Linked DNA regions of Ovis aries. The protein of the gene in region 4 interacts with the protein of the main gene of each other region in a biochemical or structural test. Links are inferred from orthologs where the notes say so. Each region holds a gene or a part of one and is shown on either strand. Other genes may lie near its edges. The genes, in order: RNF20, EP300, KAT2A, histone H2B type 2-E and STK4.

Region 1 (6,536 bases), on a different chromosome or scaffold from region 4:
TTCTGTTGAAGAGAGAGAACAGACCCAGTAACTGCTTTCTCTCTCTCCTACATCATCAAGTTTATGCTTAGTTGCTCAGTTGTGTTCGACTCTTTGTGATCCCATGAACTGTAGCCCACCAGGCTCCTCTGTCCATGGGGATTCTCCAGGCAGGAATACTGGAATAGGCAGCCATGCTCTCCTCCAGGATCAAATTTATCCTATCAAATCATTCCACCAATAAATAAAAATGCCATATTTCCTACTTTAAAAACACAAAAAACAAAAACTTCCCTCAACCCCCGATTTCCCTTGGGCTGAGGCCCCATTTTCCTGGTTCTACTTTACATCAACACTCCTCCAAAGCAACATCTCTACCTCTTTCCCCTAATTTTCTCCTCACACATTCTCTTAAGCTCACTGTAATCAGGCTGCCGTTGCCACCATTCCACCAATGCGGTGCTTGTCGAGTCTCCAGTGTAATTTCTATTACTAATCTAAAGTCTCAGTCCTCCGCTTTCTCAACCCATCAGGAGCCCCTGATCAACTCCTCCTTGAAACTCTTTCTCCCTTTGGCCTCTGGGATCCCGCCCTCCCTCTTCTCCTCCTACCTCAGCGGCCCCTCTTTGGTCAGCCTCTTCTCATCTCCTTGACATGAAGTGTTGCTGCTCCAGGGCCCGGTTCTCAGACTTCTTTATCTATGCTTGTCCCTTACAGGAAAGCCTATAGTCTCATGGATTTAAATTCCACCTACAATGCTTCAGAAATGTTCAGCTTTAGCCGAGACCTCTCCACAGGCTGCAGATCACCTCATCCAACTACCTGTCCACTCATAGGTCTAATAAATACTTCAGACTTTTAGTCCAATATCAAACTTATGACTGCTCCCCCACAGCTCCCCCAAATCTGCTCCTTTCATACACCTCCCTAGCTCAGCTTGTGAAAACTCCATACTTCTAAAATCCTGGGCTCATCTTGCCTCCTTTCTTTCATACCCTTCATCCAATCCACGAACAAATCTTGTTGACACTATCTTCACAATGGCCTGAGCCACTGTGATCCTTCATCAAGATTATTGCAACAGTCTTCTACATATAGCAGACACTTTTTCATCCTATGCCAGACTTCAGCACAGCTCTGGTGGACAGCTCCAGTCACACCACCAGTGTTCCCACTTGAAGCATACCATGCAGTCTCAAAGTTTTTTGTTCCACAATCTCAGCTGGTTTACCACAGAAACCTTGAAGTGCAGAAGAGAAGTTATTGCCTTCAAGGGCAACTGTCAACCAGCTGGGGCAGGATCAGTGGATACCTGCCCCAGCTCCCCACCCTTAGAGAGGAAGAATAGGAGGGAGGAGAAAGACAAGGAATGAGGGAACAATTTTGTTAACTGAACTCCTTCTTATAAACTTAGCTCCCTTACAATCTTTTTTCAAAACCTAAGTCAGAGCATGTTACTTCCCTGCTTAAAACCTTCCAGTGGCTCCTTACTGCCTTCTGGATAAAGTCCAAACTGGGATGCGTGTTTTGTGCATCCCTTCACATATGTAGTTATCTCTGGGAAGAGCCCATTTTTCACTCTATCATAACAGTCTGTTCTTTTCTCAGTGCCAACCTACAAACTGAAGTCCAGGAGCTGTCCTTAGTATAAAGCACAGTGTCTGGCAAATAACAGATGCTCAACAAATATTTATGTTTATTGAATGAAAAAATGTCCCTCGGATGCATGATGTGAGACAGTGCCAGGACAAAATCACCTGCTGGCAACAGGAGGCTGATGAATCCCAGACAGCAAACCCAGAAACAATGCTTCATCAATAATTTACTCTTGAATGTTCCTATTACTCTCTGATCCTCAATTTCAAAAAGTAGATATGGTTTTGTAGGCTATACAAATGTAAAGCATTTTTACACCATATCCCTATGGTTAAGTTCCAAAATACAGACTCCTTACCTATTACAGTGAGTTTATTATGGTGTCTAATGGACATATAACATTGCTATAAGTTTTTGGTGTATAATTGTCTAAAAAAATTGACAACTCCATAACAATAAGGAAGATATCTATTTTACTCACCATTATAGACACAATATCTGGCCCAATAAAAACTATTAATAGAGCACATATACTGAGTACTTACCATGTTAAAAAGTAACGTTCCTTAACAGGAACCCTTTCATTTCCTCCTCTCAAAACCCCAATGAGGTAGATACTATGATTACATTTTACAGACAAGGAAATAAGAAGGCACTCTCTCAATGATTGATTTTGCTACACTGCCTCTTAGTACCTGGCCCCTTAGTTCCCAATGAATGAAAAATCAGTGTATAGCTTCCCACTGCTAAATAACTACAATCAATGCTGAATCTGGCACCAGACTCTTCAAAGAATATGAATATACTTTTAAAAACAAAGATCAAGTGTCATTATATTTCTTTTTCAGAAATGAGCAACACATCATTTCATCTACTTTTGGCTGTTTTATCTCCCTCTTCTTTTCAAATCAACTTCCCTTACTCCAAAAGGCTTCCATAATTATTACTTCTAGGTTGCAACTGACAGAAGAAAAGCACACTCTCATAGCATTATTTCCACATACCGTTGAAGAGACACCCCCAAGTTTAATTGTTTCCACTGTGGTCCCTGAATCTTCAACAGCTGTCTTCTTCTCTGGAGGCACAGATGTGCCAGGCTCTCCAGCTGCTCTTTTATTTCCAATTCCTGACATCGTGGCACAAGATGATAACTGTTTTCCTGGAGAGAAAAAAAATCTTAGGTAAGATAGGCAAGGAGAGCAACTAGAGTCGATCTATGATGTAAAAACTAGCAACTTTTCCTGTCAATCCTTTAACCCGGGTCCATTAATTTCACACTTAGCAACCTGATCCTCAGGTTCCTCTTGGAAAGAGAAAAGTAAATTGTGAAGTAAGAGTCGCAGCTGAATTTACAGAACTACAAAGTTCTAAATAGGATGCTACTAAAATACAAGATAACAGGCAAAGGATGAAGAAACTTAGAAAATTTTCAGGCATCTCATTTCCTGAAATGCCAACATCTGAAAGTATAGTTTAATTTAGAAATACAGAAAATCAGTTAATTATACAGTGTTGGGAGAATCAGAGAGCTGGAAGAGACCTGGGAGATGTCTACTTTATTAACACTGAACAAGCCATATATCATCTCTGAGCCTCAATTTCCTAAAGCAGAAATAACAACAGTATATGCTTCCTATGCTCCTCATAAGGAATGAATAAGTACAGAAAGACTTTAGCATAAGGCCGAACACGAAGCATGCACTCAGCAATGCTAACTCTCCTTTTTATATTTGCAGTTTCCCTATTTCTAAACGCTCTCCCCACGAATTTGTGTCACCCTAGAGAAGCTAGATCTGCGTGTGAATCCCAGTACTAACTCTTAGAGAGCCGTGCTGCCTTGGAAAGGAATTTTTGATATGCACAATGCAAGTGACCACATACTGTCTCTGCCCTACTCGCCTCCCAAGGTTTCGGAGCTCAAAAGAAGCGGAATAGATGCTAAAGCACTTTGCTACTGAAGGTATCAGCCCTGCCATCACCGAGACGACACACAACTCCGCTTCCAACTGAAGCTCCAGGAGAAGGATATCGGTGGCAGCAACCTGAGTGGGACCTCGCCTGGAGAGAGAGGAGGAGGACAATGGCCTCAATCCGACTCCAGAGGGGCCAAGGACCCCAGCCTTCGGAGAGGCCAATTACAGGCCCGGGAGAGGGAGGCCTTGGAGCGGAAGAGGGTGGGGATACCCGTTGCCCGCTGAGTCCCGTCCCGCCCTTGGCCGAGATCTAACCTGAGTTCTTCCAACTTGCGCCGCCGGGGAGTGGAACGCGGGGCAGTTATTCACCAAGGTCCGCGTAGCCCTCCCACCTCTCACCCCTAACCCACAAGTGAAGATCCAGCGAAGCTTCCGGGAGGCGGGGCCAAGGGGAGGAAGAAGGGAAAGAAAGGAGGAAGTAGCTTCAATCTGGCAGCGAGAAGGACAAGACTCAACCGGGCGGAAGTGACACGCATCGAGGGCGCCCCGCTTCCGGAAGTAAGTGCGGTCTAGCAGCTCTTGGGCACCCGGCGGCCGCTTTGTAGAGGCCTCGCTGACGTCAGAGGAAACGTCCCAGATTTTTTTCCCGTTTGTTAACCATTGCTACTGCGACCTGTTTTTCTTTCTTTCTTTTTTTTTTTTACTGTGAATAGTGAAAATTGCTCAGTCGTGTTCGACCCTTTGTGACCCCATGAACTATACAGTCCATGGAATTCTCCAGGCCAAAATACTGGAGTGGATAGCCGTTCCCTTCTCCAGGACATCGAACCAGAGTCTCCCGCACTGCAGGCGGATTCTTTACCAGCTGAGCCACCAGGGAAGCCCTTAAGCGTCCCCCCTCCTTTTTTTTTTAACTGAGTACCTTTTGTTTACAGTGCCTATTGTTCTGTTACCTATTATTGGTTCTGCTCAGACTGGCGATTGGCTAATGGCGCCGTCAATCTCCAGGGGAAAGGACTAAGTTTCAGACACCTCGGAAAAATTACTGTGAGCCCCTTTTTGCTGAAATGAAAAGTTCTGGAGAAAACCCAAGAGATTCGGTGAGTTTAGAAGGTTGTGGCTATTTCAGGGAAATGTATGACAGCTCTGTCTACACATTAAAATCACTTGGGGAGTTTTGGTCCCTCTTGTGTAGGGCCTGGGCATCCACATTTTATAAAAAAAAAAAAATTTTCCCAACCCTCCCCCACCCCCACTGGATTCTAATGTGCAAACGGGATGGACAGTTACTATCTTTGTGTATCTTTTCAACAAGAAATTGACCAGGGAATAGATAAACATAAATCAATAAGTTGATTCTGATCTTAACACTCGTCTATTTTAAGCTAATTAAGCATTGATTTTTTAGTTAATAACAAACTGCTATTTTCCACTCAATTAAACAATGTGTTTTAATGATAGGAAGGTAATCAAACTAATTTATTGATGAAAAGCTGTATGCCTCACAGAGGTATAAAAAACTACCCAGTAAAGTCAGAATGTAAACAGTGGGAAACAAGCGTTCATGTTTCCTGATACTAGAACACTTTGCCCAGCGGTAAAGAGGCAACTGGCTCCAAATGAACTCTTTGGGTGAAGCAGAAGCCTGAGAACCATGTTTGGGGACCTGTCAGGGAAAGCATTGTATGAAATGACTCTCTCTGACCTCCTTCCTTTGACTTCTTTGCTCTTGGCAAATCTTGCATGCACAGAACCACTGAATGGCATGCACTGATTCTAGCCCAAAGTTTGTAAAGTTGAAAGTCACAGGCTGTACTTGGCCGACAAGTATGCTTTGTTTATTTTGGACATTATTGACTGCCTTTTAAGATATTTTAGGACTTCTCTGGTGGACCAGTGGTTAAGACTCCATGCTTCCAATGCAGGCTATATGGCGTTCGATCCCTAATCAGGGGACTAAGTTCCCATATGTCACATGGCATGGCCAAAAAATATATAGATAGATAGATTACCAACTTCTCTTGAAAATGTTGAAGGTCTGGCAACACTAGATTTATATTTTTGCATGGGCACATGGCCTAGAGCTGAGTGGTTATTTTATTCCTGTCTGCTGTGATCCCCACTGTTGGTTACTGATTGCCTGACACTAGTTGAATTTCATTTGAGTGTTATCAGTGTGTGTTGTATTGTGCTAAATCAATTCCTGGTCTAAGAGAATGTTGTTGGTTGCCTACTCAGCATCCACTTCCCCTCTCTCACCTGAATAGAACACAACCAGGATTTTATTCATATGATTATTTATATCCAGTTAGACCCCTTCATTCCATATGTCTTGAAGGAAGCTGACTTCACTTCCCTCTTCAAGGATTGTCTTAATTCAAATAGTAAGTCCCATTCCCAAACCCAAAGTTCTACTCTTAACAGTGGATAGTTTAATCGGGCTGAATTGCTTGGAGTAATAGGACTGAAGCAGTTTACTTATCTTCTGAATTTATTGTGAGGCCTGAAACTGTTGGAGCTTTCTTGTTACCAGGCTTGATAATGAAATCAACACAGAGATGGGAAAACTAGAAGAATCTCAGGGATGTTGCTCCAGCTGAGTAAATATTAAAATATCTAATTAGCTTTATTGAGTAATTCATGAATTGGGCAGCATCCTGTTTAGCAAGTAGAGGGGAGCTCCAAAAGGCTATAGAAAGAGATTTTTAAAGGTAAGATCAGGAAGTCAAAGACAAAGATTATTTCAAACTTAGGTAGCCTGTCCATAGTGGATGAAGTGATCTTTGTGCCAGTTTACTTCATCTTCCTTCCAAGGATGGAAAGGTTTACCTCATTGGTGCTGACAGCAAAATTCACACTGACCAGTTAGAATTACCTTCTTGGAGAGGATTGTGACTGCCATAAGGTCAAGTATTAAGTCTTCCTTTTAGCACAAGTAACACCACTTTGGGCCTCTAATTCTTTTAACAGGGAAATGGTGCCAGGTCAACTCGAGACACCCCTATTCCACCCACACTTCAGAATGTTGGAGACATTCTGAATGTTGGA
Region 2 (5,758 bases), on a different chromosome or scaffold from region 4:
GTGCCCTTTGCTCACCTTGTCATTTTTAATGCTTATCACACAGTATTACATTTATTTAGGTAAATGACTAGATCATGAGCTCATCAGGGGAGTTTTGTGGGTCTGTGGCTCTATTACTATCTCAGCACCTAGCAGGGCCTGAGACACAGCATAATTAGTCACTACTGAGCGATCCAAATACATTCTGACAGACTCTTATTCTGGCCTTTATACTACGTGGAAAATTCTACACCATACTCTACTTCATTTGTGTGACATTCTTTTACATCTCAAGAAGGTACTCAGCCTAGATTTAAGTACATTTTCTGAAAAGTCATATTTTAGGCTGCCATTCATATCTCTTTCCCTGTTATTATGAACATGAAAGAGCAGTATTTTCTTTTTTTTTTTTGGTTTCACTTCTATACTACACACTTGAGAACTTACATTTCCAAAAAAAGCACATCAAACATTTTCTTATCCATTACGCTTGTTCACCTGACTGTAATTTCAAACTTCCACACAAATTAGAAAGTAGCCACAGTAAAGTCCTACCTCTGGTTGGGTGGAGGGCAGTCAGAGCCATACTCCTGAACGTGCATACCAAAGAAGCACAAGTCAACACCATCGATTTCTTCGAAGGCAAAGAGGGCTTTGGTTCGATATGGAAAGGATTCTGCCATCTCTCCACTATCTACAAATCTATACAATTCATAGTGGAGGGAAGAAGTACAACATTTCATTCAGATTAGAATCATCAACAGTAACTATGTGTGAGCAACTGTGGATCCACAGATAAGAAAGGGGGAAATTACTACATACCTTGCTTTCATGCCTGGTTTGACTTCCACAGTTTTGTCAGAAGCATGAACTACTCGAACAGTGACCTCTCCTGACTCAGGGTGATTCTGTCGCCTCAGAAACTCATTCACACGATTCTCCAGAAATGTCCCAAGCCTGGTAGATGGCAGTCCTAGGATTTACAAGTGACAAGTTCAGGAGTAGCCAAGGTGCACATTTATTACTACCAGTCAAATTTCAATACCGTATCTCACTTCTGCTTTTTCAACACTAGCAAGATTATCACTGACTCAATGGCCATCAATGTGAGCAGACTCTGGAGATAGTGGAGTACAGGGGAGCCTGGCATGCTGCAGCCCAAGGGGTCGCAAAGAGATGGACTCAACTTAGCGACTAAACAACAACACAGAACAGCAAAAAACTGCACAGGCATCTATCTCCAGAACTAAAACTACTGCCACCCACCAAGTGAAAAGATCACATAGGGCTAAATGCAGCCCCTCCACAAAACTGAGGGAATCACTCACGGGATGGCAATGCTGGCCTCTGTCAGGAAATGTGTTGGAATAAGAAAAATACATCTGCGCTTTTTTACACATTATTAGGTATAAGTAACTTCACACCAAAAAGGATACTACAGTAGAACTTCAAGTACATCATGGAAAAATTATTTGTTGTTTAGTTTGGTTAAATATTTTAAATAATGTTGAAACAAAATAATTCTTTCTGGATGTTAATTTTTAATGATGTTTCAAGCAAAGTTTTCCCATAATTTACCTGTAAGAAAGGAACTTACTTTTAGCAGAAAATTTATTTTCTTTTCTAGTTCGTGCAGTCTTCTTTAAACAACCATCACAGACAAATCTAAAATGTAAACCGAGACTTTGTTTAACAACTTAAAGGAGCATTTCAAATAACGCACTCTACAGAATCTATCTTATGTATGCGTAAGGTTGAAAATAAACAAAAAAACAACCTGGGAGAAATACAACCAATATACAAAGAGCTTTCAGAAAACATTAAGAGAAAAAAGATAAATAGGTAAAAGATACAAAGAGAATATAAACTAGTTTACATGTGCAAAGATGAAGAATCACAGATTAAAGCAGAGATTTTATTTTTTAGTCAATCACATTAGCAGAAGTGTATATGTTACCAGTGGGACTATAAAAAGGGACATTTTGAAAGCAGCATGAATAGATTTTATATGTACATTCTCTTTGTTCCTGAAATTACATAAGGATGTGTGCATAAGTAGAATTTTGAGAAAAACTGGACAACACATAAGTACTCATCAACCAGCTGGCTGACCTTCAGTTGCAAGGATCACTGCAAGTCTCATGATCCTTGCCTACTCTGTAATTAAGAAGAGAAACCTATGCTTGGGGCTGGTGCATGGGGATGACCCACAGAGATGTTATGGGAGGGAGGTGGGAGGGGGGGTTCATGTTTGGGAACACATGTAAGAATTAAAGGTTTGAAAATTAAAAAAATAAAAAAGCAAAAAAAAAAAAAAAAAGAGAGAGAGAAACCTATCAAAAGACAAGCTTACCTACTACAATTTTCCTTAGTGTTTTTTTTTTTCTGGAAATTTTGTTATTTAGCCTCCTTTTCCCCCACGAACTCTAAACTAGCATCAAGTTAGTCCAGGAAAAAAGCAGAGGAGAGAGTAGAGCTCCCATCTTGATGAGAGTCACTTAATGCACAGACATCCCCTCCCCAACCTTTCCCTTGAACAGAGCTGGGAGCAGCCTCATTCCTGGAGAGAGGTAGCCATGGCAGTAAACACTTGGCAGTGTCACAATGGACAAAAATCCACTTATTTCCGTGAAAGGCACTGATGATATGCAGCCTGGGTAGATATGTGGAGAATACTCAAGAAACAAAACATGAGGCCCAAGCGTATCTAGTTCACTGAAGTCTGTATCTCATCATTTTCACGTATCTCTGCCTTTCAGTGGGGAACACCCATGTTACCTGTTATCCAACTGCCCAAAAGACTTTAAATAATTCAAGTCTAACCAGGGCCACTATTCAGTATACAATCTCACTGTAATGTTCTCTCAGAGGCAGAAACAAAGTCGTCGTTTTGGTGCTCTCCATTACTGGTATCATCTAGTCTGTCCTCTGGGATATTAGCAACACTCAACATCTGTCAAGTTTAGTTGACACAACTAACACTTTCAGGGCTTTCCTGTGGCTCGGTCAGTAGAGTCTGCCTGCAATGTGGGAGAGCCGTGTGCTATCCCTGGGTTGGGAAGATATTCTGGAGAAGGAAATGGCAACCCACTCCAGTATCCTTGCCTGGAAAACCCCATGGACACGGGAGCCTAGTGGGCTACAGTCCGTGGGGTCACAGAGAGTTGGACATGACCGAGTGATTAACACTTAGTTGTGTCTAACATTTCCTTTCTAGTTTCTAGGTGCTACAGATTTCCTGTTACCTCTATTGATAAATCCTCTATATTTACTTTTGATGCACAATAACCACCAAAGAATTTAGAAATAGTGAACCAGCAGAGAGAAGTGTCTCTACATGGACTAACACATTGTAGTAAGAGAAGGCCTGTTCTGGATTCCAGGTTGATTACTGTTCCAAAACTGAATTTTAATGACCTTTTCCCAATCCAGAGAATAATTCTAAGAGGCAGTAATTTTGACAATAAAATACAGTCATTGCAAAGATGACAAAAACTTGCTAAAGTCTGGGGAAAATACTGATGCCTCACCCCGATGGCCAGATGATCTCATGATGAAGGACACAGATCTGATGCATCTTTCTCCCACACTCTGTACACTCAACAAACCTGCAAAGGCAAAACGTCGAGTTAAATCCAAAACTTGAACCAAATCAAAAGTGCCGGTATTTCTCGTTTTCTGACAATTCAAAAGATGGCCAAGATCATGTCCAAAGAACTGAAGTAACAGTGTTTAAAAGCTCTTTAGTGTAACAGGTAGAGTGAATCTCAAACGCAGTTAAATTCAGTCATTTTATGGAGTAAAAAGTGATAGAAAAGACGACTGCTGTTTAAACCTCCAAGTCTGACACGATCCTGTCCATTCCAGGAATGTCTAGTACCAGTACACTTCTGTACCTCTGAAAGGTGTCACAATAAAGGAGGCGATTATTAAACGGTTGGAAAACACACAGGACAAGGCTGGAATAACGGCACTGAGCAGAGGCAGCCTGGCACCTCACAAGAGCACCAAAACACTAGGGAGGGTTAGTGAAATGCAAATGTAAACCATAGCCTCGATTTTTAACATTTCTACCTTGTCTCCTAGATGTAGGCTACAGACTTAGCCCAAGAATAATAGCATCACCACACTGGCTGCACAAACCAAAAGAATGAAAGCAAGACGGAAAATGAAAGTGTACTACTCAAGGGGAACTACTTACAGTTCAGGATCCAGAGTATCATTTTTTCTCTTTGAAAATTGTTCTTTATTTATTGTACTAAGGAAAGAAGAGGATACAATAAGAAAAAGCAACACAGGAAGATTAGCAAGTTGACTATTGTTCTAATAACCAAATGATAAAAACCCCCACCCTGTTAAGATTATTTAAATCTAAGACTCTATCAAGGATACAGCTGGTACATTCTTAGCTCCCGCAAAACGCACGTTTACATGCCTATGTTTTGGGAAATGACTTTATAGTACCTCTGTTCCCACTGACAGGAGAACCCAGTAAGATCTAAAAGCATGAATTTGTACTTTTTTCTTTTCCTTTTAAAATCTTGCCTACTACTCTTAGTGTTAGGTATTTAAGCCTTTGACTAGTTTACTGTTTCTAGACAGCTCAGTCTAGCAGTATGAAAGACAGTGTGTACAGAGGGAGCTAAACCACTATTTAAAAAAAAAAAAAGGCATTTTTTAGGACAGTCCAGTCAAGCAACTTTTTATATTAATAAAAAATTTTAGCATTAAGAATACATAGTTCAGGTTACTGACAGGATTAGTAAAAAAAAAAAAAGGGGGGGGGTTTCATTAAAAAATTTTCACATGGCCTCCTATCCTGAAATCTAGCCTCCTACTCTGTTCATAGTCTCACAAACACAGGAGGCCACCTACAACAAACTTTTGACTACTGTGATTCTTCCTCATAAAAATGAAGCGATTTCCCCATTGAAACTGTTTTCTCCTAGTTACAGGCTCCAGATTCATTGCTACGTGCCCTAAGGTATTGCTATCCGAAAGTGTGTTTGGAAGACTATCAGCCTGGATGGACCTGGGAACTTGTCAGTAACGCACTCTCTCAGGCTCACTGCCAACTGCAGAACTGCAAGAGGGGTTCCTACACACTTCAAAGTCAGAGACCTGCTGTCCTATGGCACAGAACTTGTGGTAAGGGTGCCTCCCTTTTTTGCATCAGGGAAACCGACCTAGACCTGACTTCCCTGGTTAGCCAAGGGTTAGAAAATCTCAAGGCTCAAGGGGACCCGAACCAGTACCAGAGCCCACCATTTTATATGTCAGTGGTGACTGAAGGAAAAGGACAACTTCAGAATCCAATTTGAAGACACCAAGTTTTTCTCAGAAGCCCTGTTTTTACTAGTAACATAACAATTCTGAATTGCTATGGGAAATGTTCTGAACTGTTTGTTTATTGTAGGTTAAATCGGAAGAGAAGCTGAAGAATATTTAAAGGATACCAAATAGTTCTTTCTTCCTAAAAGCATGAAAAATTGACAGCTTGAATCTTATAGAGATTAGAGGCAGTCTAGGCAATGTTTAAAAAATTTTCTTGGCATTTACCGAACCATAAGAGCTTGTGGATTGCAGAAGTCCAACCAAGTCTCTTTATAATAATTCATTCTCACAACCTCCTAAATCCTTAGTGATACTATGATACACATGAGTCTAAGGATTTTGGTATTGTTAACTTCTATGAGAAGGCTGTATGGTGGTTATTTGTTCAATTCTCCTCAAACTCAAAACAATTAATGATGAAGTTACCTTGCACTCCACACTTTCA
Region 3 (5,429 bases), on a different chromosome or scaffold from region 4:
TCTCCCCCTGCCCACAACCCTCACCATTGAGTTCCACATGCTCCTCCTCTTCCAGGCTGGCCAGTGCCTTCTGCAGCAGCTCAGCTGTGCAGATGAGCAGGTCGTGCCTCCGGGCCATGTGGCCAAAGCCAGCTCGTGGCCCCATGTCCCCGCTCAGGGTTGTGATGGTCCAGCGTCTGTCCAGCATGCGGCTGAACTCCTCATAATGCTGGGTCACCAAGTGCACCTGGAGGTGGAGAATGAGACGGGAGAGGAAGCTAGATGAGGGTCTGGGGGATGGGGGTGGAGCCAGGTGAACCCCTCAGCACATAGCTGGCTTCTGGAATGGGTGAAGAGACAGGGAAACTTAGAGATGGTCACAGCCACTTTGGAGTTCTGGAGGCTCCTGAGAGGCTACCTGAGGAATTGAGAAGCCACAGTGTGGGGAGGGCAGGACACTCACCCTGTTGACCAATACAACCACCTTGGCTCCGTCCACGGTCTCTAAATGCCTCTTGGCCACATAAGCAGCTGCCCTGGTCTTCCCAGAGCCTGTGGGCAGCCATATGATGATATTCTTCCCCTCCAGGGCGGGCATGATCACCTCCCACTGGTAGGGTCGCAGCTCCATCCTGGAAATGGCAGGGAGCTCAGACCCAAAGACCCTCCTGGCTCCCTCCCAGGCCCAGCCCCTGTCAGAGCCACTCCCCCTTCCTGGCCAGCTCCATCTGGTTGGGGGAGCTCCTTGTGCAGGGCGTGGGGTGGAGGTGGGTGGGAACATCTCCCCCGCTCGAGGGAGAAGGGGCAGGGCAACATTGGGACCTACCGGGAACCTGAGCTGGGTGGGAGCAGACCACGCCAGCCCCAGATATGCTGACAGGGTCTGTCTCGCCTGCAGCCTTGCCGGCTCAGCCCAAATGCTGCTGGGCTCTGCAGAGAAGGAAATCGAAACTGAAACTGAGGGGAGGAGCCAGCCCAGCAGAGATCAATCTAGGAATCTCCCTTCCAGGCCCTTCAGAAAAACAAAGCCTGTGCTTCTGGGGGCCGGGGGCCGGGGGGTGGTGCAGGGTGAGGGTGGGCAGTGAGGGGAAGAGAAATGCTGCTGACCCAATGGGACAGCAGCCTGGGTCCTGCTCAGCCCCTCCCCCAGGAGCAGCCAGCAGGGAGAAGGCGGGGGCGGGGCGCGGGGGGTGGGGGACAGGAACGGGAGGGGCCAGAGGCTTGCTGGGAAGGGCAGCCCCAGCTTGCAGGGGATATTGGTGGAACAGGGTCAGCAGGGGATTTTACTGAGGAAACCACCACACAAGACAAAACAAAACCAAAACTTTATTGTTCCCTTGGAGGGATTAATGCCAGGAAATGAATGGTCCCCATGCCCCCTACCCCTAGGGGACAAACAGAGCAGTGCCGGGTGAGGCATGGCCCCTTCAGTCCAGCTTGGGCTTCCAAGCTCTGATGCCCCTACTCAAGCTAAAATTGGGGATCCTGCCCTTGAGGAACCAGTGATCTGAGCAAGGCCCAGGATTCCAAAGCTGTATCGCTTGTGGGGAGTGTGTGAGTGTGTGTGTGGAGAGTGGGGATCAGATCAGGAAGAGGGGCGGGGCGGGGGGGGGGACCAGGGCGGGGTAGCGTTTATCCTCTGGCCACTAGCCATGCTTAGAGGCTCCCAGAGCAGGGAGACCCATTCCCAAGCTCAGACATGATGAAAGGTGGGACAGAGCTGCAGCCTTGGGGATGCCTCAGGGCCCAGAAAGGGCTGTAGGATCAGGGGCTGGAGGGTCCCAGGCTGGAGTGTCTCAGACAGAGGGGGACCTGGGCACAGGGGCACCCCAGGGATGAGATCAGAACTGGAGGAGGAGACATTCCACGTTGAGGCCGAGGCCCAAGGCTGGACTACTTGTCAATGAGCCCGCCCTCCTTGAGCTTGAAGTAGAAGAACTTCTCCAGGGCGCTGGCGCACCGGCAGTACTCGCTGTCCGGGGGGTTGTACTCGCGGCAGTTGGCAATGACCCGCTGCAGGTCGGCCACGAAGAGCTTCCGGGTCACATAGTAGCGGCTGCGCAGCCTCTCTGTCATGGTCTTCAGGTCTGGGCAGCGAGAGAGGAAAGGGCATACCTTTGAGAGGCTGCCCGGCCATGGAGGGCCGGAGCTGGGGCAGGCGTGGGAGGAAGGGGTTAGAAGGAAGGGTCCTCACCGATGGGGAAGCGGATGACCTCGTAGTAGTCTGGGGCCTCCGACTTCTTCACGGGCTCCATGAAAGGCCAGGCACTGGGGTGGGACTGCAGAGGACAGTCAAGCTGGATCCAGATCCACTGTGCCCCTGCCCAACTCGGGACTGCCACCCCCTCACCCTTGGTCAGAAAGCCACAGCCGTTGGCACAGGGACCCCCAGAAGAGAGCCTGGTCTCCCCACCTTGATCTGGGCCAGCAGGTTTTTGAGGGTTGTGTAGAGCTGGTCAGGGTCCTTCAACTCCTTCCTGGAGCGAGAGAGGCCGCGTCTGAGGCTCCTGGGCCCTCTGCCGCCCTTGCCCCACACTGTCCACTCCCTCCACACAACACTCACCCTTTCTCCTTCCCCAGCGGCTTCCAGCCTGTCTCTCCTGCAAGATGGGAGAACACCCTTAAGAATGCCTATCCACACCCCGAGCAGCACACCCCCTCCAGTGCCAAGACCCTTGCTCACGAATGCCAGGGACGCTCTCCACAGGGATCTGGCGCACACCCTCCTTGAAGCAGCTGAGCCCGGGATAGACCTTTCGGATCTGGGCCTGTTTGCGCTCAATCAGCTTCTTGATGATCTGAGCGAAGGAAGGGTCTGAGAGGCCAACCCAGCTCCAGCAACCAGACTCTCCGGCCGCAGGCAGGGAGGGCTCCCCCACTTGCCCCTCGAGGCAGCGCAAGAACCAAGACCCTGGCCAGCCCCACTTCATGTGTGCACAGCAGGTATATACGCATCTCTATACCCACACACGTGTTCACTCAAGCGCATGTTCACGAGAGCCCCATGGAGACACGCACGTGAGCATACGCACCTCCTTCTGCTTCTTGATGATGTGGGACAGCTCTGTGTAGGGGATTCGAGGGTTCAGCTCACACTCCATCAGTGTCGCACCCTCGTAGTCCTTGATGTAGCCCAAGTAGCGGCTCTTGGGCACCTTGATGTCCTTGGAGAAGCCCTAGGGAGTGGAGAGTTACCACCAACCCATCAGCAAGGCTCTTCCAGCTTGAATTTGTCCCTGGAACATTTCCAGGCCGGCAGCCCTTCCGGATTCACCCCCGCCCCCTGCGCCCCACCCTGAGAACTTCCCAGCTCTCCCAGCTGCCTCTTCCCTGGGGCAGCAGCAGGAGGGAGGAAGACAGGCATGAAGGACTTCCCTACAGGTGCTGGATGGAACAGGGGACATGAAGCCCACCCGCACCGGGGGCGAGACAGAATGACCCCGGGCCCCAGTCAGTGGGCAGACAGAGGTGAGAGTCACCTGCTTCTTGAAGTAGCCGATGGCGTACTCGTCGGCGTAGGTGAGGAAGTAGAGGATGCTGTGCTTGATGTGATACTCCTTCAGGTGGTTCATCAGGTGAGTGCCGTAGCCCTGCAGGGGAGGGGCAGAGCTCATCAGGCGGGAGGAGGCGGGCCTACAGCTAGAGCGGCCTCAGGAGGGGGGGAGAGGAGGGCGGGGACAGGACGGAGCCGACTGGAAAGGAGGTGGGGACAGCCAGGGGATCCGAGTCAGGCAGGAGGAAAGGCGACCGGCAGAGGAAGGGGAGCTTATAGGCAGAAAAGCGAAGGATGCTGGGTTTCTAAGCGCTTACTCCAGGCCAGGTGCGACGCTTGGTTCTTTACAGAGCAATCCTCAAGTTAACCCATGAAACAGCTATCATTACCTCCATCTTACAGAAGAAAAAACTGAAACTCAGCTATGTCAGGAAATATGTCCAGGTCAGGTGACCAGCCATGGCAGGGAGAGCCTGGATCTAAACCCAACCGGGAAGCTGTGGTCCACAGGCCACGGTTCCCAGTCCCTGGGCCTCAGAACTGGAGGAAAGGGGAGAGGGGATCACAAGGGCCCCCCTCATCATGACATCTGAACCCCAAAGAGACACCCTGTCATCCACAAACATTAGGACCGGAGGCACCACGCAGATCTGAGTTATGGAAAATGGGACAATCATGGAATCTTCTGGTGGTCCAGTGGTTAGGATACCTTGCTTTCACTGCCAAGGGTGTGGGTTTGATTCTAGTTGGGGAACTAAGACCTGGCAAGCCTCACAGTGCAGCCAAAAAATAAAAATAAAAAATAAAGTAGCCACACCATTTTAAAAAACAGATAAGACAAACCGGGGACCCTACTAGTCGGCCTGTTGTGACAGGATAGAAGACAGGACGACCACCCAGAGCGGGACTGTTGTAAAAATTATCAACTCTCCGATGCATGTACATGCTCTTGTGATGAAGGAAACACAGATCCCTTTAAAACTGTTACTATAAATCTGCAGAGTTCTCATCACAAAGGAAAAAGCATTTTTTCTCTGCTCCTTTCATTTTGTACCTATATAAGATGATAGATGTTCGCTGTGGTTGTTTCATGATGTATATAAGTCGAAGCGTCAGGCTGTACATCCTAAACTTACACAGTCCTACATGTCAGTTGCATCTCCATAAAACTAGCGGAAAACAAGTGTTACTGATTCTTGGGCACCCTGTGTCGACAGGTGTTTTCTTAATTCAGTTATCAAATTACAACTGCCACCTTGTGGGGATGTGAGGAAGTGTCGGGCCATTAAAAGAAGGCTTGGGGGCAGCTGTGTCACTACTGTGCTGCTCTGACCTGGTCCAGACTCGGAAGCAGGGGGTGGGATGAAGCTGGGACCAGGAGCTCCCTGACCTCTACCCACACTGGGGGCGAGCACAGACTCACCTTGACCTGCTCATTGGAGGTGACAGCACAGAAGACGATCTCCGTGAAGCCCTGGGTGGGAAACATGCGGAAGCAAATCCCACCAATGACCCGCCCATCCTTGATCAAGGCCAGAGTCTTGTGCTTCCTGAGGGGAGAGAGCTCAGGTCACAGGCCTTACCCGTCCCCTGAATGTTCCTCAGGAACCCACCACCCCGGAGGCCTGAGCTGCACACAGTGCTGGGAACTAAGGAGCAAGAATTCCCCAGGGATGGAGGAAGAGGCCCAGGGAGCAGTGGGGGGTGTCCTGGGCTCTCCCAGGGACCTACGGGTCGAAGACGAGGCGGGCAATGTACTCCTTGGGCATTCGCGGCAGCTGGTGGGAGAAGACGTTCTGTAGCCCCACCAGCCACAGCAACACCCGCCGATTGGCCTTGGGTGTGAGCGAGTTGCCAATGACGTGGAACTCAATGATGCCTCGGCGCTCTTCCAGGCGAGCAGTCTCATCCCGGGCGGCGTTGGCCGACAGCAGGCTCGTCTGGGAACCAGAGCAGG
Region 4 (6,335 bases):
TCTAGAACAACAGCTGACAGACACATACTAAGTACTCTACAGGTATTTTCTAAACTTTGTTAATAACTTTATTTTTTCTATTTTATTTATAGTGCTTCTTGTTTGGTTTCATTTTATGCTCATGCACTTTCCAATTACTAAGCATTAATAGTGTCCTCCTAACGGACTATTTCAGCCCCACTACCCTTCTGGAGTAGAAGCAGATGTGGCTAATGGTTATAAATATTCACCTTCCAGGTCAGAGGCACTCAAACATCTCTATACATTTGCTTAGACCCAGTAGTGATTTTATCTACTTCATTTAGTTAGAAAACATATTACAGATAGAAGAATGCAGCCAAGCTTTTAAATTAACTGGTAAATTTATTAACAATAGCATATACATACATTTGAAAACACATATGTAAGAAACATTAAGATTTATTCAGTCTCTGATAATGTCTGGAGTCCATTTGGATTCATGAAACCCCTGCAATCAACTCCAGGACCCCTTATCCAAAAGCAGAGTTGAATAACTGATCAGACCATCAGTACCATTATCAGCAGAATCAAGGCTTGGACAGAAAAATACAATATTCCATAATTACAATGAAATAAAGCTGAAATGCAACCGTCCTTGCATTTGAGGGTACAGAGGTGGACAATGTTAGCTGCATGCCCAGTGGACCACTCACTCTCAACCTCATTTTTAAAGAAATATTAACATTCTCTACTTTTTTTTCTCTCTCTGGGATATTCCTTGGATCAGGGATCGAACCTGTGTCTTCTGCACTGGCAGGCGGATTCTTTACCAGAGCCACCAGGGAAGCCCCAACCTTGTCTATTTTATAGGGTCTCCTGAACAGCAAATGAAACTGTGAATGTAAATGAAAAGTTCATCTCAATGGGGAACAAATGATCAGGATGGAAGGAGGGTGTCATAAATGAAGAAAGGAAAAGGATCTTCCAGTGAGCAATGTTCTAAATTTAATGAAAATCCAAAAGATTAGACCAAACTGAAAAGCATAAAGGAAGGACTTAAAACTGCCACCTCCTCCTTAGCACACACGCACAAATACAGCCCTCCTCCCAGCTGTTGCCCTGAGGTGACCATAGCCAACTTGGGAAAGGAGCTCCAAAACATTTCCATTTTCATGTCTTCACATACATCTAACGGAAATGAACCGCACCCATCCATCCATCCATGAAGGCTATTTTTAAAAGAAGAGGGACAGAAAAATGAATTCAATACTAATTCAGTAAGTACTTAACCGTCCACTGTGTGCCAAGCACTGGTTGGCGGGGACGATATAGAGGAAAACCAAACCAATAAAGTTTCCGTTAAGGTCTTGAGGAAAATGGTAAACAAGAAAAAAAAAAAAAAACCAACTATTAATAGCAAAACAATTTCTGACAGCTGCTAGGAAGAAAATAAAATAGTGAGGGACCAGAGGCAGGAAGGAGAGACACAACTTCCCGAAGGTGTCTGAGAGGTGACGTTTGAGACCAGACTAAAATGACTAGTGCCTTCCGGTGACTTGACGCCGAAATATTCCGAGAAAAGAGAATTAAAAGCAAAAATGATCCACAAACCAAGAAATAACAGGAATTTCACAGCGCCAAAGTGAGCGGCGCAAACCAGAACCTATGAATTCCGGAGCGGCGGGAGAGTTTGAATATTCATGTCCAATCAGGGAAAGGCTGAGACCAGGCAGCGCGGGCTCAGTATGAAGTATCCCGAACCGCTGGTGTCCACAGGAAGCCACATCGCAAGGGCCTAATTCGTGATCCGGCACCCACGCAGCTGCCAAACTCGCAATTCTTCAGGGCTGTGATGCAGTGTTCGAAAGACCCGGGCTTGGTCGTGTCCTGGGGTCCTTTCTTAAATGTGGATAGCTGAAATCACTCACTTCGTTTTGGAACACCGGTGACACGTACCCAACAGAGCCACCAGGACACAAGTCTAGGAGCAGTCTCAGTATCCTAATTTAGAACTGACTCATACGAAAGCTAAGCAGCAGTGAGGGTTAAGACGCGCCCTAGATTCAAAAGCAAAGCCAGTCACGCGCCAGGAATCTCAAGTCATAAGGGCTTAAAAAGCTACGTGTGTCATCTTCTATTACTTTTAGCCAACTAGAGTAACTTACTTTGTGAGGAACTGAGGAGAAACAAGTGAACAAGGCTCTTTTCTGGTGATTAGGTGGGTGGCTCTGAAAAGAGCCTTTGGAAAATCAAGCGGCTTTGCGACTCGTGCGAGCGCCGCGTCCCAGCAGGGACTCACTTGGAGCTGGTGTACTTGGTGACCGCCTTGGTGCCCTCGGACACGGCATGCTTGGCCAGCTCGCCAGGCAGCAGCAGGCGCACGGCCGTCTGGATCTCCCGAGACGTGATGGTTGAGCGCTTGTTGTAATGCGCCAAGCGCGACGCTTCGCCCGCGATGCGCTCGAAGATGTCGTTGACAAATGAGTTCATGATGCCCATGGCCTTGGACGAAATACCGGTGTCTGGGTGCACCTGCTTCAGCACCTTGTACACGTAGATGGAATAGCTCTCCTTGCGGCTGCGCTTGCGCTTCTTGCCGTCTTTCTTTTGGGCTTTGGTGACGGCTTTCTTGGAGCCCTTCTTGGGCGCGGGAGCGGATTTTGCCGGCTCAGGCATTGTGAAGCAACGCCGTTTGGCAAAAAAAGAGGTATGAGAATGGGCGGGCCTGATCCATTTATAACCACCGTATGCAAATTAAGGCTCCAAAAGTCTTACATTCCCATTGGTCCGTGGAGAGACCTTACGTTATCAGTAATAGCTACAGAATAACACCGACTCTTAACCTTATTGGCTGTTTCAGGAGCCAATTTGGGACCAATGAAAAGCTCGTTCCTGACCCCACCCCTCAGAAAACTTATAAAGGCTTTCCAATTGCTGATCTTTCTTAAACATTTGCCGAGGGGCTTTGATCTTTAAGGGTACTACTGTTATCTTTAGTCATGTCTGGTCGCGGAAAGCAGGGAGGCAAGGCCCGGGCGAAGGCCAAGTCGCGTTCGTCCCGTGCAGGCTTGCAGTTCCCGGTAGGGCGAGTGCATCGCCTGCTGCGCAAAGGCAACTACGCTGAGCGGGTGGGGGCCGGCGCGCCCGTCTACATGGCGGCGGTTCTGGAGTATCTGACGGCCGAGATCCTGGAGCTTGCCGGCAACGCGGCGCGAGACAACAAAAAGACGCGCATCATTCCTCGTCACCTGCAGCTGGCCATCCGCAACGACGAAGAGCTGAACAAGCTGTTAGGCAAGGTTACCATCGCGCAAGGCGGCGTTTTGCCCAACATCCAGGCCGTTTTATTACCAAAGAAAACCGAAAGCCATAAAGCCAAAAGCAAATAAAGCCTTACAAAGTAAACCAAAGAACAAAGGCTCTTTTTAGAGCCACCCAAGTTTTCAAAAAAAGAGCTAATGCGCTATTTTGTGATCAGCCCTTTATTTTGACACTTTGGTGGTGGCTCTTAAAAGAGCCTTTGGGGTGAGTGGGGATGGTATCAAGCCTCTTAATTACTTATTCTTGCCAGGCTTGTGACTCTCCGTTTTTTTGGGCAATAAGACTGCCTGGATATTGGGTAAGACACCGCCCTGGGCAATAGTGACACCCCCGAGTAACTTGTTGAGCTCTTCATCATTTCTCACGGCCAGTTGCAAATGGCGAGGGATGATGCGCGTCTTCTTGTTGTCTCGGGCGGCGTTGCCCGCCAGCTCCAGGATTTCCGCGGTCAGGTACTCCAGCACTGCCGCCAAGTACACCGGTGCGCCGGCCCCCACCCTTTCGGCGTAGTTCCCTTTGCGCAGCAGGCGGTGCACTCGCCCTACAGGGAACTGAAGGCCAGCGCGGGATGAGCGCGACTTGGCCTTGGCCCGAGCTTTGCCTCCCTGCTTTCCGCGGCCTGACATTACTGCTAAAACTGCAGTTACAGCTTCTTTTTCAAGGAGAACGATATGGCAAGGGTAACCAATTTGATGTAATTTATAAGAGCTACCGGGAGGGGTGAAGGGAAGTGGTTTGATTGGCTAAAAGCGGAGTCCGATCGAACAGCCAATAGGAAAGCGAAGAGCAGACTCTTCGTTTGCATCTTGGGCTACGAGGAAATGACGGCTTCTATAAGTACCTACCAATCGTTGTGAGCCATATTAAAGCCCTTTATTTGCATGCCAGGGTTTTTAAAGTGAAGGCTTTCAAACAAAACGCTCTTCTGTTTTGCTTTATTTACTGAGCGGCAATTTTTTCCTAGGTTACGGGTGGTAGGTTTTTTCCGGTTTCCCAAAAAGGATTTTAAAGGGCTGCAGAGAGCCTTTAGCAGATGCAGTTACTCCCACTCAAGGGCCTTGGAACCTTAAATTACTAAGTTCCTCCTTTTCTGGCTCGTCAAAGCCAGACTACCTTAAAAAATACAAAACTACTGAGGCCTCTTCTTTTCTTTCAATTTAGTTGTTGCCTGCGGTGTGGCTTCGCCCCATCCCCACCCGTCTGTTCCTCAGACTCCGGTTTAATCGAGGGCATTTCCTTCTCAGAGGATCTTCCCGACCCAGAGATCGAATCCGGGGTCTCCAGCATTGCAGGCAGGTGGATTCCTTACGGTCTGAGCCACCAGGGAAGCCCAGAATAGTATGTCATCCTCCTCTTGACCTCTAGGAGGCGTCCCAAACCGCTTTCAACTTGAAGGCGTCTTTCCCTTGGCATTCAAAATGTCGCCCTCCGTCTTTCCTCATTCTGCTGCTTTTCCCCCTGTCCGTGTTTAAATCCCAGTGTTAAGCTCGGCTCTGCCTCCGTATTCGCCCTTTCCGCACACTTCATTCTTCACTCTTCCCGAAGTCGTACCCAATTCAGTGCTTTCATCTAGTATTTGCTGCAGAAGCTCAGGCCTGTATACCTGTTAACTGGATACTTCAACCTGTCTGTCCCTATAACTCGACCTATCCAAAAGCAAACTCATCCAGTCACCTGCCACCACCACCACCCCCCCCCAACTCCCCCCCCCCCCCCCCCCCCCCACCCCCCCCCCCCCCCCCCCCCCCCCCCCCCCCCCCCCCCCCCCCCCGCCAGCTCCCTTCTCTTTGTTCTTTCCCTGAATTGCTCCAACAGTCTGCCCGGTACCTGAGCTAACATCTACAGTTTCCTGCACCTTACAGCATATATTCATGAATATTCCTGAGTATTCATTGGAGGGACTGATGTTGAAGCTGAAAGTCTAATACTTCGGCCGCCTGATGCAAAGAACTGACTCATTGGAAAAGACCCTGATGCTGGGAAAGGTTGAAGGCGGGAGGAGAAAGGGACTGCAGAGGATGAGATGGTTGGATGGTATCACCGACTCAATGGACATGAGTTTGAGTAAACTCCAGGAGCTGGCGATGGACAGGGAGGCCTGGCATGCTACAGTCCATGGGGTCGCGAAGAGTCGGACACGACTGAGCGACTTCACTTTCACTTTTCACTTTCATGCATTGGAGAAGGAAATGGCAACCCACTCTAGTATTCTGGCCTGGAGAATCCCAGGGACGAGGGAGCCTGGTGGGCTGCCGTCTATGGGGTCGATTTAGCAGGTCGATTTAATACCTAATACAATGTAAATGTCATGTAAATAGTTGTAAATAAAATGTAAAACTCTGTACATAGTTGCCAAAGCAGGGAAAATTCTAGTTTTGCTTTTTGAAACTTTCTGGATTTTTTTTTTTTTTTTCAAATATCTTCCACCCACAGTTGGTTGAATCGTGAGATTCAGAACCGGTGGATACCGAAGGCCAACTGAAACTGTTTCACAAATAAGGAAACCAAGGCTCAGAGGAATTTAAGCACTTGCTGAAGGTCACACAGCCACTTACAAACACATGATTAGAACCAAGGTCAGTCTCGCTCAAAGTCTGTGCTCTTCATCCCTCCAAGCCCATTGCTTCACTAAGGAGATTACGGGCTTTATGAAGTCATTATGCCCAGCCTTGCTTCTTCCCTCTGTAACAGGGAAGAAGCTGGAGAAATAGTTTAGAAAAGAAGATGCTAATTCTCTAAGAGTATAGTTTTATTTGTTTATGAAAAAAAATGTTTATTAGCAGATGGGGAAACAGTGGAAACAGTGTCAGACTTTAATTTTTTGGGCTCCAAAATCACTGCAGATGGTGACTGCAGCCATGAAATTAAAAGATGCTTACTCCTTGGAAGGAAAGTTATGACCAACCTAGATAGCATATTGAAAAGCAGAGACATTACTTTGCCAACAAAGGTCCGTCTAGTCAAGGCTATGGTTTTCCTGTGGTCATGTATGGATGTGAGAGTTGGACTGTGAAGAAAGCTGAGCGCCAAAGAATTGATGCTTTTGAACTGTG
Region 5 (5,758 bases), on a different chromosome or scaffold from region 4:
AATAGGCAGCTTCAATTATGTTATTTGAATCTAAAAATAAAGCCAGTAAATCTTCCCATCCTTCTCCATTTCTGTCCCTCAAAAAAGAGAGGTGCTTACCTTTGGGCATGTGCATAGCTTAAAAAAAAACAAACAAAACTGTTAAGTCTATTAACAGAAGGACTGCTTAATAAGAGAAGAGGAGGGGCTGAGTTGGGTGGTATGGAAAAGACTCTGGAGCCTCTGAGGAAGGCAGGGGTCAAGGTCTTGCAACAGTGCTGTGATGAGGTGTTCTGGGGGTGGGGAAAGTCAGGAAAATGCTTAATGCAGAAACACTGAAGGAGTGTCAATGGAGACACGTGTGGGCTTTTCACACTCCAGAACTGGATGGAGGTCAGGGAGCACAGAGCCTCTAGAAATCACACATGCAAATCCCTACCCAGGCCAGGCAGGAAGAAGACAACAAATGAATCAGGCTGAGTGTTAGTGATATGAGTTGAAAATACTCTGCTTTCCTCTTAAGGCTAGTATAAGAAAAACAGAGAAAACACGGCAATACATTATGACTGATACGGGCGAACAGGGAGCCGCGGAGGGCACGCAAAGCGCATGCCCTGTATAAAGGAGAGGACTGTTTCGCAGCTCCAATTAATGTTGTTATGTTAAAACGTGAGCACTCGGGGACTTTCCTGGTGGTCCAGTGAATTAGACTCTGTGCTTCCAGCGCAGGGGGTGTGGGTTCATTCCCTTGTTAGGGAACTAATATTCCACATGCTGTGGAACACGGTCAAAAATTTAAAAATAAATTAAAATTTTTTAATATGTGAGTGCTCGAATTACTAAAAACATACACTGCACAAGTCAAACCAATCAAGTCCTGCCAGAGAGATATCAATACACAGCTTCTAGAATGAACAGGGGTGGATTACACTTGACTTAATTAGTGATTACAACTAGTGGAAGTATATCATCTGAAGTCTACACTGACACTTATCAATTATTTACAATTAATTCATTTACTGTTTGGTACCTAACCAAGAAACTCATTTAACTCAGTTTCTCATTATCACCAGTAACTGACCATCCCACTGGTTTTCTGTCCATTTCCTTACCCTCATTGGATGGATATCAGCATATGGAGGCTTTCCTTCAGCCATTTCTATGGCTGTTATTCCCAATGACCAGATGTCTGCTACACAGTTGTACCCAATTTCCTGGATCACTTCTGGAGCCATCCAAAAAGGTGTTCCTATCACTGTATTTCGCTTGGCCATGGTATCCTGAAACAGAAAGGAGAGAGATCAACATTAACCACTGAAACTGTTGAGAAAGAGTCCCTTCTAACAATAGTGATTGTCATGGGCTTGAAATACATACACAAACCGTACTCAAACATGAGCAAGTCAGTCAGTCACAAAACAAATTCAAATGACATTGAAACATAAAAGATTCTCAATCAATTATTAAAACACAGAAATAACTATCAACCAGTTAATGAAACACCAAAATGAGACTGACAAAAATTAAAAAGATTACTAACAACTCATATGGATAATAGCATAGAAAAAATCAGGTATCAAAATACAATGATAAAGGAACACAAGTTGGTACAATGTTTTAGTAGGCAATTCAGCAATATTTACTAACTTTAAATGTCCATATCCTTTGATTGAAATCTATTTCTAGAAATGTATCCTATGTATAAGTATCCCAAGATAGATGCACAAGTATTGTAAAAATAATAATAATAGAAAGGCTGGAAAAGGGGCATCTGTCTATTTATTTGTAAAACTATACACTTGAATTCCTAACTTATACTTTCAGCAAAATAAGTTCAAATAGGTTAAAATTTTAAATGTAAAGACCAAAATCCAAAAAGCACTCAAGGAAAGTACAGATGAATAGTTATATAAGGTTGGAGCAGAAAAGGACTTTTAAAACATGACATCATGAAGATGGGAGTATTTTTCAAATTGATTTATGATTCAACACAACCTCAACACAATTCAATTCAATCCCAACCAAAATTTAAATGAAGTCCCACTGTTTATTCTTGTTTTTATTGCTTGTGCGTTTAGTATCATATCCAAAAAATCATTGCCAAGACCAATGTCAAGGAGCTTTTCCCCTATGTTTTCTTCTAGGAGTTTTCGGGTTTCAGACCTTACATTTATTTTAATCCATTTTGAGTTAATTTTTGTGAGTGGTGTAAGAAACAGGTCGAGTTTTACTCTTCTGCATGTGAGTATCAGATTTTCCCAAGAACATTTATTAGAGACTGTCTTTTCCTCATGGAGCACTCTTAGCTCCCTTGTCAAATATTAACTGACTGGATAAGCATGGGTTTATTTCTGGGTTCCTGATTCCATTCCATTGGTCTGTGTGTGTATTTTTATGCCAATACTATACTGTGTTGATCACTTTAGCTTTGTAACATAGTTTGAAATCAGGAAGTATGAAGCCTCCAGCTTTGTTCTTCTTTCTCAGGACTGGTTTGGATATATGGGGCCTTTTCTAGCTCCATATGAATTTCAAGACTGTTATTTTCTATTTCTGTGAAAACCGTCAATTACTAAAAAACAACTGATATTTTAAATTTATAATATCTTTTACACAGCACCAGAAGAATTTTTCTTTTCAATAAAGATTGTAATTTAGATAATACTGTTTGGTATTGTTTACTTATGTGTTAACAACAAAATCTTTTGAAGGGCCCACAAATCATGATATGGAATAAGTTCCTGAGGTTGTTGGTTTTTTTTTAATAACATCGAAGCAATGTTTAATTGTTTTCCATTTAAATTTTTTAAAAATAAAAAACCTACATGATAAAGCTCTAAACAAACTATATATGGACGTAGCTTTCTATCACCCAAGAAACCTGATATATGACATTGCTGCAAATTTTTGTATACATCTATCTAGAACTCTGTTTTCTACACATATTTCACACATCTCATATATTTTACAAAATCAGATAATTTTAGCCTTCCTGTTTTGAAAGCATAATGTTTTTCATTGCCATGCACTACTGAGGTAGGAGGAAAATCAAGAGCCTGTGTTTTGGAACCAAATGAGGAGAACGCTCTCAGTAAAGCAGCTGCCAACTGCTACCTAGAGGCTGAATGAGATGACGTTATGTCTTATCCAAGGAAAGCCGATTAGATTTAATTTTTATTCCTTTTGTAAATACGATGACGTAGACCAAAAGAATTTAAACGTCTACTCTATCATTTCTTGTTTTAGCTTTTATTTTTTTCAAGCTAAACAGAGTTAAACTATGGGACCTGAGCCCCAGGAAAGGATCGAAAATAACCTACCAGCTCATTTGTAACCTATTGGCACATTCTTTAATTTTTTTAAACACAATTATATTAAATATTACATTTTAAAATAAATAAATAAAAAGAACAGTTCTCAAGAAAGACCTGAAAGTTACCAACGCAAGTAACACTTTCACTTACTGTAAGTTGACCTGCTACCCCAAAATCTGCAAGTTTTGCGTGACCTTCTGTATTGAGCAAAATATTTCCTGCTTTGATATCTCGGTGTATTTTTCTCATAAAATGAAGATACTCCAGTCCCTTAAGTGTTGACTGTAATATTGTAGCTATTTCATCTTCTGTTAACTGAAAATATGAGAAATTAAAATACTATTAGTTTACATCAGCACATTTGAAAAAGGAGAAAAAAATTTCGATCCAAACTCTTCTCCTAGAATATAAATAAGATCTCATTCAATGTGTAAAATAGCATTTGACAGCTTATAGTACCATTGCTATGCTGACCACTCCCAAAGTTATATTTCCAAGCCAGATCTCTCCCCAAATATCAGATTTATGTATCTTCCCACACCACACCTCCAGCTGAATACCTAACAAGCATCATAAGCACAACATGGCAAAATCAAATTCTTTATTTTTACCACCACCCTACCCCTTTCCATACCACCCACCTACTCTATTCTTCCCACGGTCTTCTCTCTCTCAGTAAAAGGCCATTTAATTCTTCTAGCTGTTCCGGTCAAAAATCTTGAAGTCATCCTTGACTCTTCTCTATCTTCAAACTATATGCAATTATATCCTCTGGGTTCACCCTGATTCAAGCCACCAACATGCCTCGCCTGAATTGTTCTAATAATCTCCTAACTTGTCTGGCTGCTTCTGCCCTTAACCTTATATAATGTATATTCCACACAGCAGCCATAACGAACCTTTTAAAATGTAAGTCAGGGACTTCCCTGGTGGTTCAGTCCATAAGACTCTGCTCTCCCAACACAGGGAGCCTGGGTTCGATCCCTGGTCAGGGAACTAGATCACACATGTTGCAACTGAGATTCTGCTAAATATCTGCTCAAAATCCTTCCTAAGTCACTCAGAATGAGAGCCAGTTCTCACGAAGGCCTCACCTTATCTGGCTCCCAGCTACCTTCATCTTCTACCACTTTCTACCTCTTCATCCTGTTTCAGCCATGTAGGCTTCCCTGCTGTTCCTCAAAAACTCTAAACACACTCCCACTTCTGGGGCCCATTTATCTGTTCTCTCTGCTTGCAGTGCCCTTTAACCAGATTTCTGGATGAGATGGTTCCTTATGTCACTGTCTCTGCTCAAACATTACCTCATTAGGAACAGAGAGGCTTTCGCTAGCTCCTTCCACTCCTAGATCATTCTCTATCCCCTTATCCTACTTATAGCTTAATGCAACATTATCACCATCTCACATACTATACATACTCTGTATACTTATTCATGTGACATCTTCCCTATTGCACACGTGAACTCCATTTTAAAATGCCTTTGATTAGGTTACTACTGAATTCCACCACCAAGAGAGTCTCCTGGCACATAGCAGGTCCTGAAAAAAATATCTGTTAAATGATGATGAATAAATGTAAGCAAAAATGCAGGAGACTGACACAGAACACCTGATCAGTCCAATGCTAACTCTGTGCTGATCCTAGCCCAGTTCTAAACAAACTCAATCAACAGACTCTGAATCAGTCCCCCTCATGACAAACAAGTCACATTTAGAAGAGAATAAGCAGTGGTGCAAAAAATACGTGATTTGGGTTTAGAAAGATCTAGTCTTTAGCCTTGGCTCTACTTCTGCATTATGACTTAAGCAAGTTATCTAGTAATGTCTCTGAATCTCAGTTTCTCAATCTAGAAAAATAGGCAAATCACCTTTTTTCAAGAGTGTCACAAAAATCAAACGATACATTAAGGCATGGAAGCATCCATGGGGTTTAATAACTAGAAAATGCACTTCTACAAGAGCAGGGACATTGTTCTACTGACTACTGGATCCCAAAGGCCTAGATCAGTGTTCTAGAAATACTTACCTAATGAATAAACAAAGAGTTTACGCAACTGAACCGCAACTAGAAATCATGACTCCTAGCTTTTCTCCCAGCCATCACAGTAACAGCAAACTATCTTTCACAGAGAGGAATCTGATGAGGAGGATTTAGTGGAAGTTAACCTGTGAACACTTGGGTAGAAGGAGAAAACCCAACCAACTCTAAACACTCAGAATTCATTGCTGAGCTTTCCTGGTGGCTCAGTGGTGGAAAATCTGCCCGCCAATGCACGAGACACAGGATCAATTCCTGATCCAGAAGATCCCACATGCCATGGGGCAACCAAGTCCACCCTCCACAACTACTGAGCCTGTGCTCTAGAGCATGAGAGCCGAAACCACCACAGCCCCTGCGCCTTAGAGCCCGTGCTCCGCAACAAGAAAAGCTACCGCAAAGAGACGCTCGTGCACTGCAACTAG

The links.
Region 1: of the proteins of histone H2B type 2-E (region 4) and RNF20, one has a biochemical effect on the other in vitro, tested with the Homo sapiens proteins (3 studies listed by BioGRID). The link is inferred for Ovis aries from reciprocal best matches to the Homo sapiens genes H2BC21 and RNF20.
Region 2: of the proteins of histone H2B type 2-E (region 4) and EP300, one has a biochemical effect on the other in vitro, tested with the Homo sapiens proteins (4 studies listed by BioGRID, with this or other methods). The link is inferred for Ovis aries from reciprocal best matches to the Homo sapiens genes H2BC21 and EP300.
Region 3: of the proteins of histone H2B type 2-E (region 4) and KAT2A, one has a biochemical effect on the other in vitro, tested with the Homo sapiens proteins (2 studies listed by BioGRID). The link is inferred for Ovis aries from reciprocal best matches to the Homo sapiens genes H2BC21 and KAT2A.
Region 5: of the proteins of histone H2B type 2-E (region 4) and STK4, one has a biochemical effect on the other in vitro, tested with the Homo sapiens proteins (2 studies listed by BioGRID). The link is inferred for Ovis aries from reciprocal best matches to the Homo sapiens genes H2BC21 and STK4.

Annotation. Positions count from the first base shown.
Region 1 is NC_056055.1:21,571,743-21,578,278, forward strand, and holds the start of RNF20 (E3 ubiquitin-protein ligase BRE1A), read right to left. Parts: upstream 3,923-6,536; 5' UTR 3,804-3,922; intron 2,735-3,803; exon of another isoform or gene 2,727-2,734; 5' UTR 2,709-2,726; coding exon 2,580-2,708; intron 1-2,579. UniProt on the Homo sapiens protein: Component of the RNF20/40 E3 ubiquitin-protein ligase complex that mediates monoubiquitination of 'Lys-120' of histone H2B (H2BK120ub1).
Region 2 is NC_056056.1:218,157,735-218,163,492, reverse strand, and holds part of EP300 (histone acetyltransferase p300), read right to left. Parts: intron 4,238-5,758; coding exon 4,181-4,237; intron 3,588-4,180; coding exon 3,510-3,587; intron 1,645-3,509; coding exon 1,577-1,644; intron 953-1,576; coding exon 802-952; intron 682-801; coding exon 535-681; intron 1-534. UniProt on the Homo sapiens protein: Functions as a histone acetyltransferase and regulates transcription via chromatin remodeling. Acetylates all four core histones in nucleosomes. Histone acetylation gives an epigenetic tag for transcriptional activation.
Region 3 is NC_056064.1:41,977,379-41,982,807, forward strand, and holds the end of KAT2A (histone acetyltransferase KAT2A), read right to left. Parts: intron 5,413-5,429; coding exon 5,204-5,412; intron 5,023-5,203; coding exon 4,896-5,022; intron 3,570-4,895; coding exon 3,459-3,569; intron 3,156-3,458; coding exon 3,012-3,155; intron 2,778-3,011; coding exon 2,663-2,777; intron 2,580-2,662; coding exon 2,543-2,579; intron 2,457-2,542; coding exon 2,393-2,456; intron 2,259-2,392; coding exon 2,174-2,258; intron 2,067-2,173; coding exon 1,873-2,066; 3' UTR 1,290-1,872; downstream 1-1,289. Other genes in the region: ATP-dependent RNA helicase DHX58, read right to left, coding at 25-226, 443-610. UniProt on the Homo sapiens protein: Protein lysine acyltransferase that can act as a acetyltransferase, glutaryltransferase, succinyltransferase or malonyltransferase, depending on the context.
Region 4 is NC_056054.1:99,990,893-99,997,227, forward strand, and holds histone H2B type 2-E, read right to left. Parts: upstream 3,956-6,335; 5' UTR 3,909-3,955; coding exon of another isoform or gene 3,516-3,908; 5' UTR 3,351-3,515; coding exon of another isoform or gene 2,961-3,350; 5' UTR 2,638-2,960; coding exon 2,257-2,637; 3' UTR 344-2,256; downstream 1-343. Other genes in the region: histone H2A type 2-C, read left to right, coding at 2,961-3,350; histone H2A type 2-B, read right to left, coding at 3,516-3,908. UniProt on the Homo sapiens protein: Core component of nucleosome. Nucleosomes wrap and compact DNA into chromatin, limiting DNA accessibility to the cellular machineries which require DNA as a template.
Region 5 is NC_056066.1:73,332,388-73,338,145, reverse strand, and holds part of STK4 (serine/threonine-protein kinase 4), read right to left. Parts: intron 3,609-5,758; coding exon 3,444-3,608; intron 1,260-3,443; coding exon 1,092-1,259; intron 1-1,091. UniProt on the Homo sapiens protein: Stress-activated, pro-apoptotic kinase which, following caspase-cleavage, enters the nucleus and induces chromatin condensation followed by internucleosomal DNA fragmentation.